Linked DNA regions of Schizosaccharomyces pombe. Changing the gene in region 1 together with any one later gene gives a genetic interaction. Each region holds a gene or a part of one and is shown on either strand. Other genes may lie near its edges. The genes, in order: ppc1, clr6, hst2 and mis16.

What was found.
Region 2: mutations in ppc1 (region 1) and clr6 impair growth when combined (synthetic growth defect), as found in Schizosaccharomyces pombe (one study listed by BioGRID).
Region 3: mutations in ppc1 (region 1) and hst2 impair growth when combined (synthetic growth defect), as found in Schizosaccharomyces pombe (one study listed by BioGRID).
Region 4: mutations in ppc1 (region 1) and mis16 impair growth when combined (synthetic growth defect), as found in Schizosaccharomyces pombe (one study listed by BioGRID).

The regions. Positions count from the first base shown.
Region 1 is NC_003421.2:1,142,086-1,146,276, forward strand, and holds ppc1 (phosphopantothenate-cysteine ligase), read right to left. Parts: upstream 2,149-4,191; 5' UTR 1,957-2,148; coding exon 1,006-1,956; 3' UTR 531-1,005; downstream 1-530. Other genes in the region: cytochrome c oxidase biogenesis protein cmc2, read left to right, coding at 2,383-2,561, 2,624-2,714; ubiquinol cytochrome-c reductase assembly protein Cbp3, read right to left, coding at 2,971-3,822.
Region 2 is NC_003423.3:848,687-853,066, reverse strand, and holds clr6 (class 1 histone deacetylase Clr6), read left to right. Parts: upstream 1-1,590; 5' UTR 1,591-1,708; coding exon 1,709-1,748; exon of another isoform or gene 1,749-1,790; coding exon 1,791-1,852; exon of another isoform or gene 1,853-1,897; coding exon 1,898-1,948; exon of another isoform or gene 1,949-1,990; coding exon 1,991-2,108; exon of another isoform or gene 2,109-2,151; coding exon 2,152-2,182; exon of another isoform or gene 2,183-2,224; coding exon 2,225-2,268; exon of another isoform or gene 2,269-2,358; coding exon 2,359-2,404; exon of another isoform or gene 2,405-2,459; coding exon 2,460-2,694; exon of another isoform or gene 2,695-2,740; coding exon 2,741-2,833; exon of another isoform or gene 2,834-2,878; coding exon 2,879-2,987; exon of another isoform or gene 2,988-3,031; coding exon 3,032-3,172; exon of another isoform or gene 3,173-3,212; coding exon 3,213-3,321; exon of another isoform or gene 3,322-3,363; intron 3,364-3,368; coding exon 3,369-3,427; intron 3,428-3,478; coding exon 3,479-3,558; 3' UTR 3,559-3,722; downstream 3,723-4,380. Other genes in the region: spo9 (ER farnesyl pyrophosphate synthetase Erg20), read left to right, coding at 14-151, 220-420, 461-1,042; cys11 (cysteine synthase), read right to left, coding at 3,882-4,380. UniProt on the Schizosaccharomyces pombe protein: Responsible for the deacetylation of lysine residues on the N-terminal part of the core histones (H2A, H2B, H3 and H4).
Region 3 is NC_003421.2:1,327,220-1,331,325, reverse strand, and holds hst2 (histone deacetylase, Sirtuin family, NAD-dependent Hst2), read right to left. Parts: upstream 2,375-4,106; 5' UTR 2,229-2,374; coding exon 2,150-2,228; exon of another isoform or gene 2,148-2,149; intron 2,093-2,147; coding exon 1,716-2,092; exon of another isoform or gene 1,649-1,715; coding exon 1,106-1,648; 3' UTR 536-1,105; downstream 1-535. Other genes in the region: ribosome quality control complex subunit Rqc2, read left to right, coding at 3,019-3,150, 3,196-4,106. UniProt on the Schizosaccharomyces pombe protein: NAD-dependent histone deacetylase, which could function in telomeric silencing, cell cycle progression and chromosome stability.
Region 4 is NC_003421.2:582,414-586,533, reverse strand, and holds mis16 (histone H4 chaperone, CENP-A recruiting complex CENP-A chaperone Mis16), read right to left. Parts: upstream 2,409-4,120; 5' UTR 2,400-2,408; coding exon 2,315-2,399; intron 2,243-2,314; coding exon 2,137-2,242; intron 2,065-2,136; exon of another isoform or gene 2,049-2,064; coding exon 947-2,048; 3' UTR 641-946; downstream 1-640. Other genes in the region: SPOM_SPCC1672.11C (P-type ATPase P5 type), read left to right, coding at 1-628. UniProt on the Schizosaccharomyces pombe protein: Regulatory subunit of the histone acetylase B (HAT-B) complex. The complex acetylates 'Lys-12' of histone H4 which is required for telomeric silencing.

The DNA.
Region 1 (4,191 bases):
GTCATAGGTCAGTTTTATCGTAAAAACGTTTGCAGCTTTGTTCTATAGTTTTTTCCAGTTTTGTATAAAGAATTCTTTACATAAACTTGTGTTGTTTTACAAAAAGTGTCACAAACCGGGATCGAACCGATGACCAACAGATCTTCAGTCTGTCATGCTCCCAACTACACCATTGCGACTTCATATACATTAAAAACTACTAAAATATTTATAAAGAAAATTATTTACCAATGTCTGTAAAAGCCATAATAGCCTTTTTAAATATTTGTTTTATCCTCGACATTTTCGAGCTGCCAACCTTTGCATTCTGATTCTCTAACAGTTTTAAAAGTAATTGAAATCTCATAGGTTTTTCATTGAACTATATAACAATCGCCGTTGTTTGTGTACGTGAGCTTGCAATTAAACATGAGCATTTTAGTCATGGGGTTTGAAGCGACTCATAAGAAGTATGGGATCTCAAAAAGAACTGAAGGCTTTAGAAACAATCATATACGCTTACTACTTACAGGTACTCACTATTTATTTTTTGTTCATTCAAGATAACTGTTGCGCATTTTAAATTCAAGTCTTTGCTTTCTATATACTCCTGACATTGATTTTTATAAACTAATCATCATTTTTAATATATTCTTTAACACACTTCAGACCTGAGTAATCTACAACAGTAATAAGTATCTAAAAAAAAAGCTGCAATTTTTAAAAAATTACAACAGATCCAATAGTACACGATTCAATTCATAGCTCGTATTAGCAATTTATAAAGCCTTTCATTTTTTTCGTAAACCCCTCTACAAATGCTATAAAGCAACTTCGTAAAATAACAAGACGAAAATGATAGAGAAATAAAAAAGTACCACTGGTGTTTGCATAATAAACCCTAACAATATAAATGAGTAAAATGTTTAAAAGAAAAACCGATAGTTCATATAAGTTAAAGCAGATAAGAAACATAACTAGTACTTTTTATAAGTTCATAATCGACTAATCGTCAATAAACATAATTTAAGGTGCCTTTGCGAACTCTTGAATTCGTTCCTTGTGCAACGAAATTGCCCTCGAAACAATGTATTGCTCGATTTCTACCTTTTTTACAATGTCATCGTCGCTCAAATGAAGCCATTCAACCGTTTTTGAGGTTACAAACGCGACAGATCGTTTCCTTGTTGAAAGAAGGTTGGCGATCACCAGCTGGTGGTTATAACGTTGTAAAGCTACTCTTGCTTTATCAATCAGAATACTAGGGTCGGTTTCTAATTTAAAGGAAATAATAGAAGCTTCAGGAGCCCATGTGTCAACCAAGAAACGCAGAAATTTTGGAACCGGATGCATTTTGACTTCTAATTTGTTACTTCCAGAACCACTTTGAATTTTGTGCTCGCTCAATTCCTTCGGTGGAATATGGAAATCACTAACAGCAGCTGCTAAATAAAACAATGCTCTTGAAGCGATTATCTGTAAACGTTCAGCTATAGCTTTCAGGTACCACAAATATTCTGTGAGTGTAGTATAAGGAATCATTATCAGTCGATGATGTTTCGTATATGTATCTAATTCGTTGAGTGCATTGAATACTGTCGATTGAAACTCTTGTTTGACAATCCAAGGCTTCTCCTGACTGCCATTACTTCTTTCAAACAAATTTGTCCAGGGACCTTCATATCGTCGAGTAAATGGCATTAAACTATAATTTCTATACAGAAAAATGACCGAATATCCAGACTTGCAAAAGTATTCAGCAGATGCTGCACCACGATTTCCTGCACTAAAGTTATCGATAAAACGCACCGTATTTTGCTCAAGAGGCACAAGTGTGCCGCCACTAGTAACAAATGCAATGTTTTGGGAGTTTGATTGAAGGTTTATAAAATCTTCAATCAGACTTGAGACATCACCGAGTGAGTTAGGACAAGGATTCTCCTCAAAGAAATCGTTAGATTTATCCATTTCTGGCATATATTCTAAATAGCTAAGAGTATCGCAACCCAGAAATGCCTCTCTTACGATGAGCTCAAAAATAAACAAACGACGTTTAAAAAACTGTATGCGTTATTGCTGAATGATAGGACTAGAGAACTCACAAAATCTGAAATGCTAACCAAACAGTTCTCTAGCAGCTTGTAAATTCAGCAAGTAGTGGTCTGTTTATTGAACAATGTAGACGATAGCGACACCACAAACGACTGAAACGCGACACTTTGTGATTGTATTACACTTAAGGCCTTTTTTTTTTATTCAACTCGTGCTTGTCTTTTATGAAAAGCTAAAATTAAAATAAATTTTAAGTTTGTGTTTTAATCAACTTAAGACTAAAAATTTTCATTTATTTGCGCTCTGTTGGGTAACGTGGTTTAGTTACCAACATTTTACTGATTATCTAAAATGAATAAATCTCCAATTGAAGAGGAATTTGATCTTCGGAAACAGCACCAAAAGCTATTAAAAAAAAATTGCCAGAAAGAAATTGAAGATTTTGTGAAATGCGCTACTGGCAGGACTTTTAGCGTAACCTGGAAATGTAGAAGTGAAAATAAAACGATGAAGGATTGTTTAACCAAAGCGTAAGAAACTTATTCATCAATCATGTATAAAAAAGGATATGTAACTAATATGGAATATGCAGCGCAGACGAAATATCGGAGTGGCAGATCAGGTCGGAATACAATAAAGCTAAACAAGAAAGCTTTATCGGAAAGCAAGACGAAAAGAAGTAGCTAATTAATGCATCGATAATATCGGTATTAACTGCTATTAAAATACTAGTTCCAATACAACATAATGCTACGATTTCAATTAAATTGACAAACATTCTCTACTATAAAATATTTCAAAAGCTCCTCATTACTTTTCAATTTAACGTAATGGTAAAAGCTTTCAAAGTAATTATTTACAAAAAAGATTCATGGTTTTGCATAATAAACATGACCGTTCGTCAATTTATTAATCATTAGAGTAGCAATCATTTATTAATCAAATATTTGTTTGTGCACTTTCTTCAGGTGGGACGAAGTGTACTCCCTTCCCATTGATAAAGTCATCGGTTGATAAACATGACAGGCGATAAACATTGAGGCGAATAAATTTAACAATAGTCTCAAGAATTACTAAGTCGACGTCTGGGCGACCAACGAAAAGGTTACGCCAAACGGATGTAGCCAAAACAGCATCACTTCCCAGCATTCCTTGATCATAACCAAAAATGGCGCCGGTCTGTTGCTGAAACAGATCTTTCAGATACATACCAGAAATTCGATTGCTATTAATGCGGTAATCTTTATGAATTCTGAGTTCCATGTCTTCAAAGAAACGAGTAGTTAATGCCTGTGAAAAGGCAACTTTTTCATTTTTTGGCAAACCACGAATGCGAGTATGGAGGATCCACAAATGTAATTGCGTTATTTGAAACCAAGACTGAAATGTCATAGGAATTTCACACTTCTGGTACCAAAATTCAAAAGCACCTAGCGAGTTTTTTTCGGGGGTAGCTTGTCGAGCAGCCTCAAAATACATGTATCTTGCAGTACCAGTAGCCTCATAATATAAATTTTGTTTAGGAGAGATATATTTTTGATAAATAAGACTTATTTTCTTTAGAAAACTATTTGGCGGAGCCACTTTACGTGGATCTTGAGGAGGTGTAAGGGGTTTGTATCTGAGTTCTTCTACTGGGTCTCTTCTCTTCGTTTCCGAAGGTGAATGATTAATAACATTTATTGGAGAAAATGAAAATCTTCTTCTTAAGGGACCGTATATACTCTTCCCCCATACCGGCTGCTTAACAAATGCTGGTCTCAATGGCAAATTTAAACAGCAGCGACTCATTACTGAATGACGATAAGGATCTTTTGATAATCTTTTCTTAATTAATAAAATTAATTATTACCTGCAAATAAATACGTAGGAGTTGGGTTGAAATAAAAAACGGATCGATTAATGTCGTACAATATAAAGGGGAAGAGAGGTTGTGACAGGTTGATTGCCAAATACAATGTTATAACGAACGATCAATATTACGAGGCCATCATTCTTCCTAATTAAGTATACTCTAAAATTTACTGGACCATTTTAAATTTGTTTGCAGTTTCAGTAGTATATCTTCGCCGTTTAATCGTACCAAAGATTGTATCTATTTATTTTGCTTTCTCAATTAGAAAACCTAAATTAATAACCTCTTAGTTGAAAATGATTATA
Region 2 (4,380 bases), on another chromosome or scaffold:
AACCTTCATTTAGTCCATAAAGAGAAATACGTTAGGAGGAAAGAATAATCGAGGACTGGCAGTTTTGCAATCTTTAACAAGCCTTATTAATCGAGAACTTGAAGAAGCAGAATTTCGCGACGCTGCTCTCCTAGGTTGGCTAATTGAAATTGTAAGTAAACTGGTTTTTTAATTCAGATTTGTTTACGTAAAATCACTGGGGTACTGACGGATGTTCAGTTGCAAGGTTGCTTTTTAATGGCAGATGATATTATGGATCAGTCTATCAAACGACGTGGTTTAGATTGTTGGTATTTGGTAGTTGGTGTACGAAGGGCAATTAATGAGTCACAATTACTAGAAGCATGTATTCCACTTTTAATTCGAAAGTATTTCAGAAATATGCCATACTATGTCGATTTATTGGATACTTTCCGAGAGGTATGTTACAATAAATTCAACTAAAAAGCTTACTTTCAAGGTTACTTTTCTCACCGAGTTGGGGCAACAAGAAGATTTGCTTTCATCACGAGACGGAGAAGCCTCGTTACGATCTTTTGATTTAATGAAATATGACTTTATTATCACTTATAAAACATCATTTTATTCCTTTTACCTTCCTATTAAATGTGCTTTATTGTTGTCTCGCAATTCGAATCAAAAGGCGTATGATACGACTATAAAGCTTTCAAAACTTCTTGGTTATTATTTCCAAGTCCAAGATGACTACTTAGATTGTTTCGGTGATTACACGGTTTTGGGTAAAGTGGGAATGGACATACAAGACAATAAATGCACATGGCTAGTTTGTTATGCTGAAAAATTTGCCTCTGCGGATCAGCTGAATCTTCTTCGTGCTCATTATGGAAAAGCAGGGTCTGAAAACATAGCTGTAATAAAGCAGCTTTATCATGAGCTTCAAATACCTGAATTATATCACAAATTTGAAGATGACATGGTGGATTCTATATCCAAAGAAATTGATTTGATTGATGAATCTACTGGATTGAAAAAGTGTATATTTACTAAGTTTTTTCAGCTCATTTACAAAAGGTCACGGTAGCAGTCATTTCATTTTAAATAACCGTTATTATCTTCTTCCTTATTTAAAATTTATTATTTGATGACCTTCCAAATTCTTTATGATACTGATCGACGATTTGTATTTAGGGTTATTCTTAAGGTTTCATATCATTATAGCATTTATGGTTTTTTTCATTATTGTTAAAGATCTGCATTCAGAATTTACTTTTTTAATGATTATCTGGTTGATACATTACTCTACTTGGGAAACTAAGCAAGATTTAGATTATGTAGATGTAAACATTTGGTGAGTAGTATAATAATAACATCAAATGACATTGACGATCGTTGTTAATTGGATTGGTTATGAAAGAATTATTATATTGCTCATTTGAGAAAATGCAAAAACTGTCACTGAAAAAAACATACAGCACATTTTAATAGACATTCCAAGGTTAGTCCTTTTTGTTATAACAGTATTTTACTTAAATTGAACAATTAATCGTTACTTATTTAAGATCTTGAAACACTAGTTCGTGGATGGGAGAAATATTCAATAGAACCAGGCTGCTGCTTCAGCTTCTGACCACTCCATCATAGCAACAATTCTACGCGAAAGCGCTCCGAACCTAACATTTTTAATTGATAACATAAGGAAACTGTTTGCCTTATTAAATAATTGGGAAAGAAAATCCTATTTGAAACTATGGGGTTCGGGAAGAAAAAGGTTTCTTATTTCTATGATGGTACGTGTAAACTAGTAAGATCCTAGCTAATTTTTGAAATAGAGGATGTTGGAAATTATCACTATGGTCCTCAGCATCCAATGAAGCCTCATCGCGTTCGCATGGTATGATATAAAGCTATAACTATTTATCATCATTAACCTACTTAGGTTCATAATCTGGTCGTTAATTACAACTTGTATGAGAAGTTGAACGTTATTGTAAGTTCTATTTCTCCTTTTTATACTAATAAAGTATACAAGACACCTGTTAGAGCAACAAGGAATGACATGACTCGTTGTCATACCGATGAGTATATTGAATTTCTTTGGAGAGTTACACCTGACACGATGGAAAAATTTCAACCGCATCAGCTGAAATGTAAGATTTCATTTCGATTATTTATAAATAACCGTGATTTTAGTTAACGTCGGTGATGATTGTCCTGTTTTTGAGTATGTGCGTTTATCAAATTTTTTATACTAACAATTGTTTAGTGGGCTGTACGAATTTTGTTCAATTTCTGCTGGCGGTTCAATTGGTAAGATAAAAGTTTTTCCCAAAAAAGGGGCTTTGAAGCATCCGCTGAATTTGTGAATGGAGTATAGGACTTTAACTAACATTGGTTTAGGTGCTGCTCAAGAACTTAACTCGGGAAACGCAGAAATTGCTATTAAGTATGTTATTGAGGATTTTTTAGTACTTTGAAGATCAACTAACCACTTAATTAAGTTGGGCTGGAGGCCTACATCACGCTAAAAAACGTGAAGCTTCTGGTTTCTGCTATGTTAATGATATCGCGTTGGCTGCTTTAGAATTGCTGAAATATCATCAACGTGTTCTTTACATTGATATTGATGTTCACCACGGAGACGGTGTAGAAGAATTTTTCTACACTACGGATCGCGTTATGACTTGTTCATTCCACAAATTCGGTGAATATTTTCCAGGAACCGGTCATATCAAGGTATGCATGCGGCTTTATATTTGGATTTACTTTTCTAATATTTTAGGACACCGGAATTGGAACAGGAAAAAACTATGCTGTTAACGTTCCTTTGAGAGATGGTATTGACGATGAATCTTATGAAAGCGTATTTAAGCCTGTAAGTCTTTTTTATAAATTTCTTTGTTCTAACAATCTGAATTAGGTTATAAGTCACATAATGCAATGGTTTCGACCGGAAGCTGTTATTTTACAATGTGGAACAGATTCTCTCGCTGGTGATCGACTAGGCTGCTTCAATCTGTCAATGAAGGGTAAGTAACTACTGTTTCTCGTTTTTACTAATTCCCCTCAACAGGACATTCAATGTGCGTTGATTTTGTTAAGAGCTTTAATTTGCCAATGATATGCGTTGGAGGAGGTGGATATACTGTACGGAATGTTGCCCGTGTCTGGACTTATGAAACTGGTCTTTTAGCCGGCGAAGAGCTTGATGAAAGTAAGTACCAATACGTAAATTGTTTATTAACCCATCCAAGACCTTCCTTATAATGACTATTTACAATATTACGGTCCCGATTACAAGCTCAATGTTCTTTCAAACAATATGGAAAACCATAACACTCGGCAGTATCTTGATTCGATAACGTATGCTACCTTTTGAGTTTTATTCTTACGAGGCTGACCAAATTTAGCTCTGAAATCATCGAAAATTTGAGAAACTTATCTTTTGCACCTAGCGTTCAAATGCATAGTAAGTATAAGCGGTTATCGAAAAATGTGCTAACAAATACTCTTACATTAGAAACTCCCGGTGACTTTACGTTTGAAAATGCCGAAAAGCAGAACATTGCGAAAGAAGAGATTATGGATGAGCGCGTATAGACCTATATAAAATTTTGTATGTTCATGGTGTTTGAATCCATTATACTCGGTTTTTTTGTGTTATTTGAATCATGAATACTATAAAAGCTATTATGTTTAAATACCCTTATTTATAAGAATTCTCCAGCATAATTAGACTTCAGCATTAAATTGAAAATGCTCATTACATATAATAACAAACACTTTATATTCTATACTCTAGATGTGACTTGTGGTTTTAAAAAAAAAGGAATAGCCAAAAAATTAACGCACAAAGAAAGAAGAAACGGAAATCACAAGGTAGTAGTAATTATATGTCTATCCGAAGTAAAAGGTCAAAACAATTAAGGAAGTACAATATACTTCTTGTATTGTGGCTCAATTACATCAAATAATTTTTTACTTTCAAGGAATGAGCGACTGAATAAACGAGTGGCATACTTGTGACCAGAATCACAAAGAATTGTAACCACCGTCTTGCCAGGACCTAATATTTTAGCCATTTCAACAGCAGCGACCACATTTAAGCAAGAAGAGCCGCCCAAGAAAAGACCTTCTTGGTCTAACAAACGAAAGAACATGTTAATAGATTTTTCGTCAGGGATTTTCATAGCATCGTCAATGAGATCGTAAACAGGTTGGACATTTCCAGTAATACGACCTTGACCAATGCCTTCGGTAAATGAAGAACCCTTGTTGTCAGGATGCTTACCCTTCGTTTTGATATGGCTATACAAAACACTTCCAGGGGGATCAGCCACGAAAGAAGCAACACGACCGTCGGACTTCTCCTTCAAATACTTGGTAACGCCGGCAAAAGTACCACCAGTACCAGTAGAGCAG
Region 3 (4,106 bases), 190 kb from region 1:
AATTGAGACCTAAGATCCCTATTGACGTCAAATCTAAAAACGTTAATTATAAATCATATATCTGGCTTTCGAACAATTATTTATTTGCTAAGCATTCATATAGATCAAATTCATGAATCTTGTATAGCTAGGTAGAAGGAAGCGTTAGAATCGGTAAATTCTTAGCAAACCGAACAGGAGGTGACAGCCATGTAGTCAGTAATTCGTACAACTCATAAGTTACCCAAAGGTACATAGATATATGCAGATAAAATAGATATAAATTTAATAATTGTTCTAAAATTAACTGATAATTGTTCAAGCGCTTAGATACTTGTTTTCTGTAATATGAATTATGTCTTTACATCTCTAGTTCATTTTATGAACAATAATGACCACAAGAACAAAATTCAAATCAGAACTGGTTATGATGATGGACTAACTGGTTTATACACCGTCCCCTGTTACAATATACAATTCGTAGAAAACGCTTTAGTTTTTCAAAGGAAGCATTATTCTTGAATGAAACTACAAAAAGAACAATTTGATTAATTATTCCTATTTCCAATTCTTGGATAATTCAAAGTTTTATTAAATGAAAATGAATAATCTCCCATTTCAGAACTATATGTTCCAAACTGAACAGAAAAAAGGTTTCGACAAAGATTGTATTAGATTACAGTGCAGTAAATTTGAAACCATTATCAATTATTCTAGCGCAACTTTCTCATAACCCAAATTGCGTATATAGATGGACGCCAATTTTAAAAAAAATGCAAGTTATTTTCACGAAAATGCGAGGGCATCTTCATGAGTTTGATCGAGATCGTATACAGAACCCCCTTTTTGTTATCCTTTTCGCATTAGTTTAACCCAGCATACAACTCATAAAGAGAGCAATATGATTCATGGTTAAGAGGCAATCAAAAGGACGCCTGGAAGGAAATATTATAAAATTGCTGAAATAAAAAAAAGTATTTAAACTTGTTTAAAAGAAAACGAATCGTATGTGTAGATTCAAATATTCATCAAACCGAATCGTGAATTTCCGTTTTCTTAGTATAATAAATATAGGGATCTCCTAGTTTTAATCATGACAATATAGAAAATTTCCCGAATAACTGAACTATTCATCATCAGAAACTAACAGCGTCACCTCGTCTTTTTTCTTCTCCTCTATTTTAGTGAAAGGATTGACCGAGTTATCGTCTTTCTTTTGTTCAGAGGCATTCTTTTCTATTGTAGAGTCAACAGAAAGTAAAGATATTTCTTCTGTCAGCGTTTCAACACTCGTATCAATCAACTTTTCCAATTCATCAGACCATCCTAATAGTTTACATAACGCACGTACTTGGGAATCACAATCCCCCAATATCATGATATCCTTTTTTCTCTCCCCAAAGTCGCCAGCTGGTTCTCGATTAATCAAAACTCGTTGACATTTATTTGGCACTATTTCAGGCAAATCCGCGAATGGATGAACAAGTAAACTTGTTCCAATTACCAGTGCCATATCACAGACTTTTGTGTCCTTTTCCATGTGCTCGAAGAAACGCATTGGTAATCCCTCGCCATAAAACACAATCATTGGTTTGATGAGACCTTTGCAACTGTTGCATTTAGGGACCTGTTTTTGCATAATACATGCTCTAACATACTCCGTTTCCGCCTTTGTTTTCCGTCAGTAAAACCAATTTCTGCTTTTTCACTTTAACTTTTTCAAAAACAATCCTTACCATTTCGTAACATTCAATACAGCGGCTGTATTGGAAAGAGCCATGTGCTTCAATCAGAGCTTTGTCAGGCACACCTGCCAAACGCTCCAAGGTATCAATATTTTGGGTATAACATTTTTGTAGTAACCTTTTATCATGTAAAAGGCGTATAAAATAATGAGTATAAGTTGGTCTATACTTTTCAGGCATCAATTCGTGAGCCAATTCGTAGAATGGACGCGGATTTTTTCGAAAATAAGATAGATCAAAAACAGCTTCTGCGTAAGGAAGATTAAATCTTTGTAAATTATTGTAAATTCCAGTCTCAGGGCTTCGAAAATCAGGGATTCCTGCTGCAGTGCTGATCCCTGCACCAACCATAACACATATTTTCTTTACTATTTTCGATAAAATCGCATTAGTATGGTCAAGGAAAGAAAATTAAAAGTCATTACCTTTTCCTTCTTTGATTAAGGATGCAACTTTCTCTAAATGCTTGGAAGAGTCGACGTGTTTAACAGTGTTTTTCACCATTGTCGAATTTCTGAGAACAACCAAAGCAAGCCAATAATCGATTTACCTTAAAAATCCCAACTCAAACTCTTTCAAAAATTGGATCACTTAAAATTCTCAGATATGAACAAATCAATATGTTAATGCACAAAGTTTGTGGGTACGCCAAATTTCCATTATTATTTACTCGTTGAAAATATCAAACGCCATTACCGATGCTCCATTAAACTGCATTATACTGTTTAAAAGGCTATTGTATTCGACTTTAGTACTCGTTATTTGGTAAACATTTAGAGCCATCTTTTTCAATTAAGAGTTTCTGGATGTCGTTGAAAAAATGAGATACGGGGTAATCAGAAATTATGATTAATCAACTTTCGGCTCACTTGATTAGATTCAGCAACGATAACTCTTGACTTTCTGGTTTTACTTATTGGGTTGGTCACACCAGTTTGACATATTAGGTGTCAAAGTTTTTTATAAGTTTATCATTAGTTAACTATTTTTTATCTTTATAATCAGTGTCATGTACGACTATAAATGTACGATTAAAGAATCATCGTCGGGAAAGAAATAATGAATTTGAGAGAACAATCCAAATTTGCGCTAAGAATTTTAATGCTGCTAATGTACACCGTTTTATGGTGCAATGGTGTGCTATAATTTTCCTTATTACATATTGCGGATATCATTGCGCTTTGTTAGTGCTTCAGTTTCACTTACGTTATACACATGTTTACATTCTAACTAGAGCCTATACTTCATTTTGTTGTAACGCAGAAATTCATTTAGATAGGTGTTATAGACGTAAATGAAGCAAAGATTTTCCGCTTTAGATATTGCTGCGATTGCTGCGGAATTACGAGAACAAGTGGTTGGGTGTCGCTTGAATAACTTTTATGATCTAAATGCGCGTACCTTCTTGTTGAAGTTTGGTAAACAAGTATGTGTAGAAAGTAATAAATATTTTTTTACTAACCCGTTAAAGGATGCAAAATATTCTATTGTTATTGAAAGTGGGTTTCGTGCTCATTTAACAAAATTTGATCGAGAAAATGCCCCTTTGTCTGGGTTTGTAACGAAGCTACGAAAACATATAAAATCTAGAAGGTTAACTGGTGTCTCTCAGTTGGGTACTGATCGAGTACTCGTTTTCACATTTGGAGGTGGTGCGAATGATCAAGACCCCGATTGGACGTACTATCTGGTTTGTGAATTTTTCGCTGCTGGAAATGTTTTACTATTAGACGGCCATTACAAGATTCTGTCTCTTTTACGAGTGGTCACCTTCGATAAAGACCAAGTTTATGCCGTAGGGCAAAAGTACAATTTAGACAAAAATAATCTCGTTAATGACAATAAATCTCAGTCTACTATTCCTCATATGACAGCTGAACGATTAAATATCCTTTTGGATGAAATAAGCACTGCTTATGCTTCTCCTACTTCTATTAACGAACCTTTACCTGACCAACAACTATCCTCTTCTACAAAGCCGATTAAAGTACCCAAACCAGTTTCTCTTAGAAAAGCATTGACTATAAGATTAGGTGAATATGGTAATGCACTTATAGAGCACTGTCTTCGGCGTTCAAAATTAGATCCACTATTCCCTGCTTGCCAGCTCTGTGCAGACGAAACCAAGAAAAACGATTTATTAGCTGCTTTTCAAGAAGCCGACTCCATATTAGCTGCAGTTAATAAGCCCCCAGTAAAGGGTTATATATTTTCACTGGAGCAAGCACTAACAAATGCTGCTGATCCTCAACACCCTGAAGAATGTACTACATTATACGAAGATTTTCACCCTTTTCAGCCTTTACAGCTCGTTCAGGCAAACAGAAAGTGCATGGAGTTTCCAACCTATAACGAATGCGTTGACGAGTTTTTCTCTTCTAT
Region 4 (4,120 bases), 560 kb from region 1:
TATTCTTCCCATTGCGGTTTTCATGGGGAGATCTCGACCTTATCATCGTTTGGCCCACAAAAGACCTACCGCTAATTTGGTTTCCAAACGTATTTTATCTCCTCTAATCGGTCAAATCGTCCTTATTTGTATAATTCAATATATAACCTTAAGGATAGTACGGAGAGAGCCCTGGTATATACCACCACCTGCGAATAGCTCAGATACGAATATTACAAATAGCGATGTAACTGCTCTGTTTTTAATTTCTTGCTTCCAATATATTTTTATTGGAGTGGTTTTGAGCATAGGACCTCCTTACAGAGAAAAAGTTTGGAGGAACTATTCATTTACAGCTGTCGTTGTTGTTTTGTTGATCCTGACCGTTAAGTTAATACGACTTCAAAATCATAAAAACTTTTTTATGAAACTTTTCCAACTTACGCCTACGTCCAAAAGTTTCCAGAACTTTTTGATCTTCGCTGGTGTTATTTATTATTTACTCGCAGCCAGCGGTCAAAATTACATTTTCATTTCTATGACCAATTTTATATCTCACCTGAATAATCGTTTACTTAATCGCCGAACGAAAGTTTCGAAGAAACTATACAAACGCCTATTCGCAGACTTGCAAAATGAACAAGTTTGAGATATATTATCCCCCTTTTGTTGTTCAATAGATTTTTTTTGCTGTTATGTATAATATTAATAGTTACTATCCTTTTTACTTTATCATGGTCAAACAAAACATTTAATCTCTGGTGTTATAGAAATGTAGTCTGATTTATAACAGTAGTTTTGATGTATTTACAAGGCGACGAAGATCATTTGTTTTAAATTATACAAAAGCTGAAAAAAAGAGAGCAGTCAATTACCATATGACTCTGTATTGTAAAGAATATTGCAAAAAACAGATGAAGCGTAGAAGGATGGAAAAGTGAGTTTGGGTTTTTTTCTATGGCCAACTTTACTCCAGATCCCTAGGAGAAACCTGAACATGATCACGACCCCAAATGACACGAGAAGGGCTCCATATTTGAAGGATATTATCATCGGCAAGACTTCCAACCACCCAACGCTCGTTTGGACACCAACTAAATTCTGAGATGCGATTTGTGTGGCCTCCATGCATAAATAGTAATTCTGGAGAACCATCCTCGGCATCCTCCGGAGTCTGTTCCTCTCCAATCTTTTCTAAATCCCAAATACAAACACGGCGATCAGTTGAACTGGATGCCAATATAGGTTCATCATGAGGTGACCATTCTAACCCATATACCTCATCTTCGTGTCCTTCCAGGGTATGCAACCGTTGATATGGATTACGGAGGTCCCAAAGAGCTACTGTTTTATCAGCACTGGCTGTTGCTAAAAGATAGTCATTAAAGGGATTAATGGCAACGGCATTTATGGCTTTAGAATGAGCCTGAATAACTTTGGGAGCTTCTTCTTCTGGATTTAACCGAGTATCGTGAATTTGCAAAGTGCAATCATCCGACACCGATGCTAATAATGCCTCATGTTGAGGATGAAATTGAACATCGTTAACAATATCAGTATGACGATGATATTTGGCTATGGGGGAAATGACTTTTGTCTCAGAGGAAGTAAAAGATTGTGTCTGAACATCCCATAAACAGATAACTTGATCCTCTGCTCCTGTTGCTAGATTTCCAGGTAAATTCGGGTTCCAGCAAAGACCAAAACCTTCAGCAGTATGGCCCTTCAAAACTGCTTGAGGAAGTGCTTCACCTGTAGTTAAGGCATCATGACAAGTTGTATCAAAAATATAAGCATTTCCTCCTTCTCCCATGGTAGCGATGATTTCAGGCTTTTGAGGCATGTAACGAGCACGATTGACATCGCCATCGTGAGGGATTTTTTGTGAAATTTCAATCGTATACGAGCCCGTGGCCTGTGCTCTTCGAATCGTAGAAGGAGTAAACTCGGTGGTATCCTCATCAAAGTTTGGTAATTGCACAGAAGCAATCTGTAAATAATTTTGATCATTACCAGATGTGTGAGTGCCAAGAATAAGACGTTGAATAGAGTAATCAGTACCTGGTATTCTTCAAGAATCGAGTTAGAAAACTGATGAGATGGTTTGAAGTAAAGGCCAGTATAATCATAGCCTAACTACTTTGGCAAGCAACGTACGTTTTTTTGTCAGGAAGCCATTGAATTGTCAAAGAAGGCCATTCCAAAGCGTGGGTTATTACCAAGTCATACAGAAAGGGAACATTTTGTTTCCAAAGTTTGTATTCTGAAACGAGTATAATCGTCAGTAATTACGGCATAATAATATATATTAATGAAGAATTCCCTTTAATCATACCTTCTTGTATTGTTTTTTGTAAGTCTATCTCGGCATTGAGTTCATTATTCTCGAGAGGTGCATCCTGGACTACTTCCTCTGACATGTTTTGGGCAACTACACAATGGCCCAAACTAGATTGCCAAGTTAAAAGTTTTGGAGTTATAAGTAATTTACATTATTTAAAGATGCCCAAATAAATCTAGCGCACTCTTAAGTCTGAAATAAAAAAAAAATAAAATAAAATTCATGAACAGCGATATAGAAAACAAGTTTCAATGAGCGAAAACAAATTTGAACATGCCTCTAAAAACCATTACTTGATGCCACGTCTCCATGAAAACAGACATTCATAGTGAGAAGAATTCCTCAAACATCGTCTTTATCATGCTCTAATAATTATAAAACCATTTGGCAAAAACAAATATTATAATCTCAGTATACTTTGATAAACAGATTGTCATTATATTTACACTAAAAATAAAACTATTGAACCCAGCCATCAATGGGATATTTATACTGTTGGCTCTACGAATTGTTTTACAGTACACCGTAAATTTATTAAACAAATCATGTAGTATTGCAAACTTTGGGTACGTATCTAAACTAATCAAATATAAACTTTTTTTAATTAAAAATGTCTGGGAGACAATCCCATCCTTGACCCATGGAAAAAAGTCAACGACCGGGAAAGCCACTCAATTCTTCGCTGAAGACGGAACGGATGCATTTTCTTGGTCCGGAGACTCCAACCATCATACTTGACTTCAGGATTGATTTTACTTTACTTATATAACAAAGTAAGTTAAAACCTACTGATGATGGTGAATCATCAACTGAACAGACCCTATATATAGTAAATTTGTTGTGACGGTTTTTACCTTAGGTTAGGGTATTAGAAACGATGTTCTGGAGACTAAGTAAAATTTCATATGTAAACAATGGCTGAAAAGAGAAACTTGTGAAATGACTATGAGTTTTGGCTGATTTTAATTTATATGATTAGCTAGCTTTAATAGCACGTAGTCAGACTTTTGGGTACTTGTCGTGGAAACTTTAACATGCTAACTTGATAAATTATTCGATAACAGTACAATTCAAATCGTGTCTCTTATTTCTTTTAACCTCATCATAGCAATTTACTGATTTTAATTTAAAATATTTATTAAATATAGTTGTGAATTAAAAAAAAAAAATTCCCAGATGAGTACTTTCTTTCTAATGTTATTTATTTTGATATACTGAGGAATTTGTATACCGCATTGCCTTAAAATGCATGCCAACAGTGGTCTAGCTCGTTATTCGTCTCGACTTTTTTTTGGAATAATGCTTGCGTTTGCTAAGTATTTTGAGGAGGCAATTAATATCAGTATATCAATTATAAGAGAGGAATTTAGTATAATTGGAGTATATTTGCACGTTTTGAGTTGTTGATCGTAATCTTATTACTTCAGATGTTTTCATAGCGACTTCTGGTACCCATTGTATATTTATAATTATTGTAACAGTTTTTAACATTGCATTCTTTTTTTTTCTTGCTAAAGTAAATTCATCAAAATTTAGAGGTATTTCTATGAAAGATCTATCCATATCATGTAAATTTTTGTGTTGCCTACATAATCGAGCATCCAAACCTTGGTTGTCGGATACACCTTAATTAATCGGGGCACAGAAGAAATTGAAAAAAACAATAAGCAAAATAATTAAATTTTATGAACCGCAGTCTTAACAGTCATTATTATTAACCTGCTACTTCAAATGCGGTTTTGTTAATGACAGTAAAAAATACAAACACTTCAAAGTATTCAAAGATGAAATTTTCGGTGT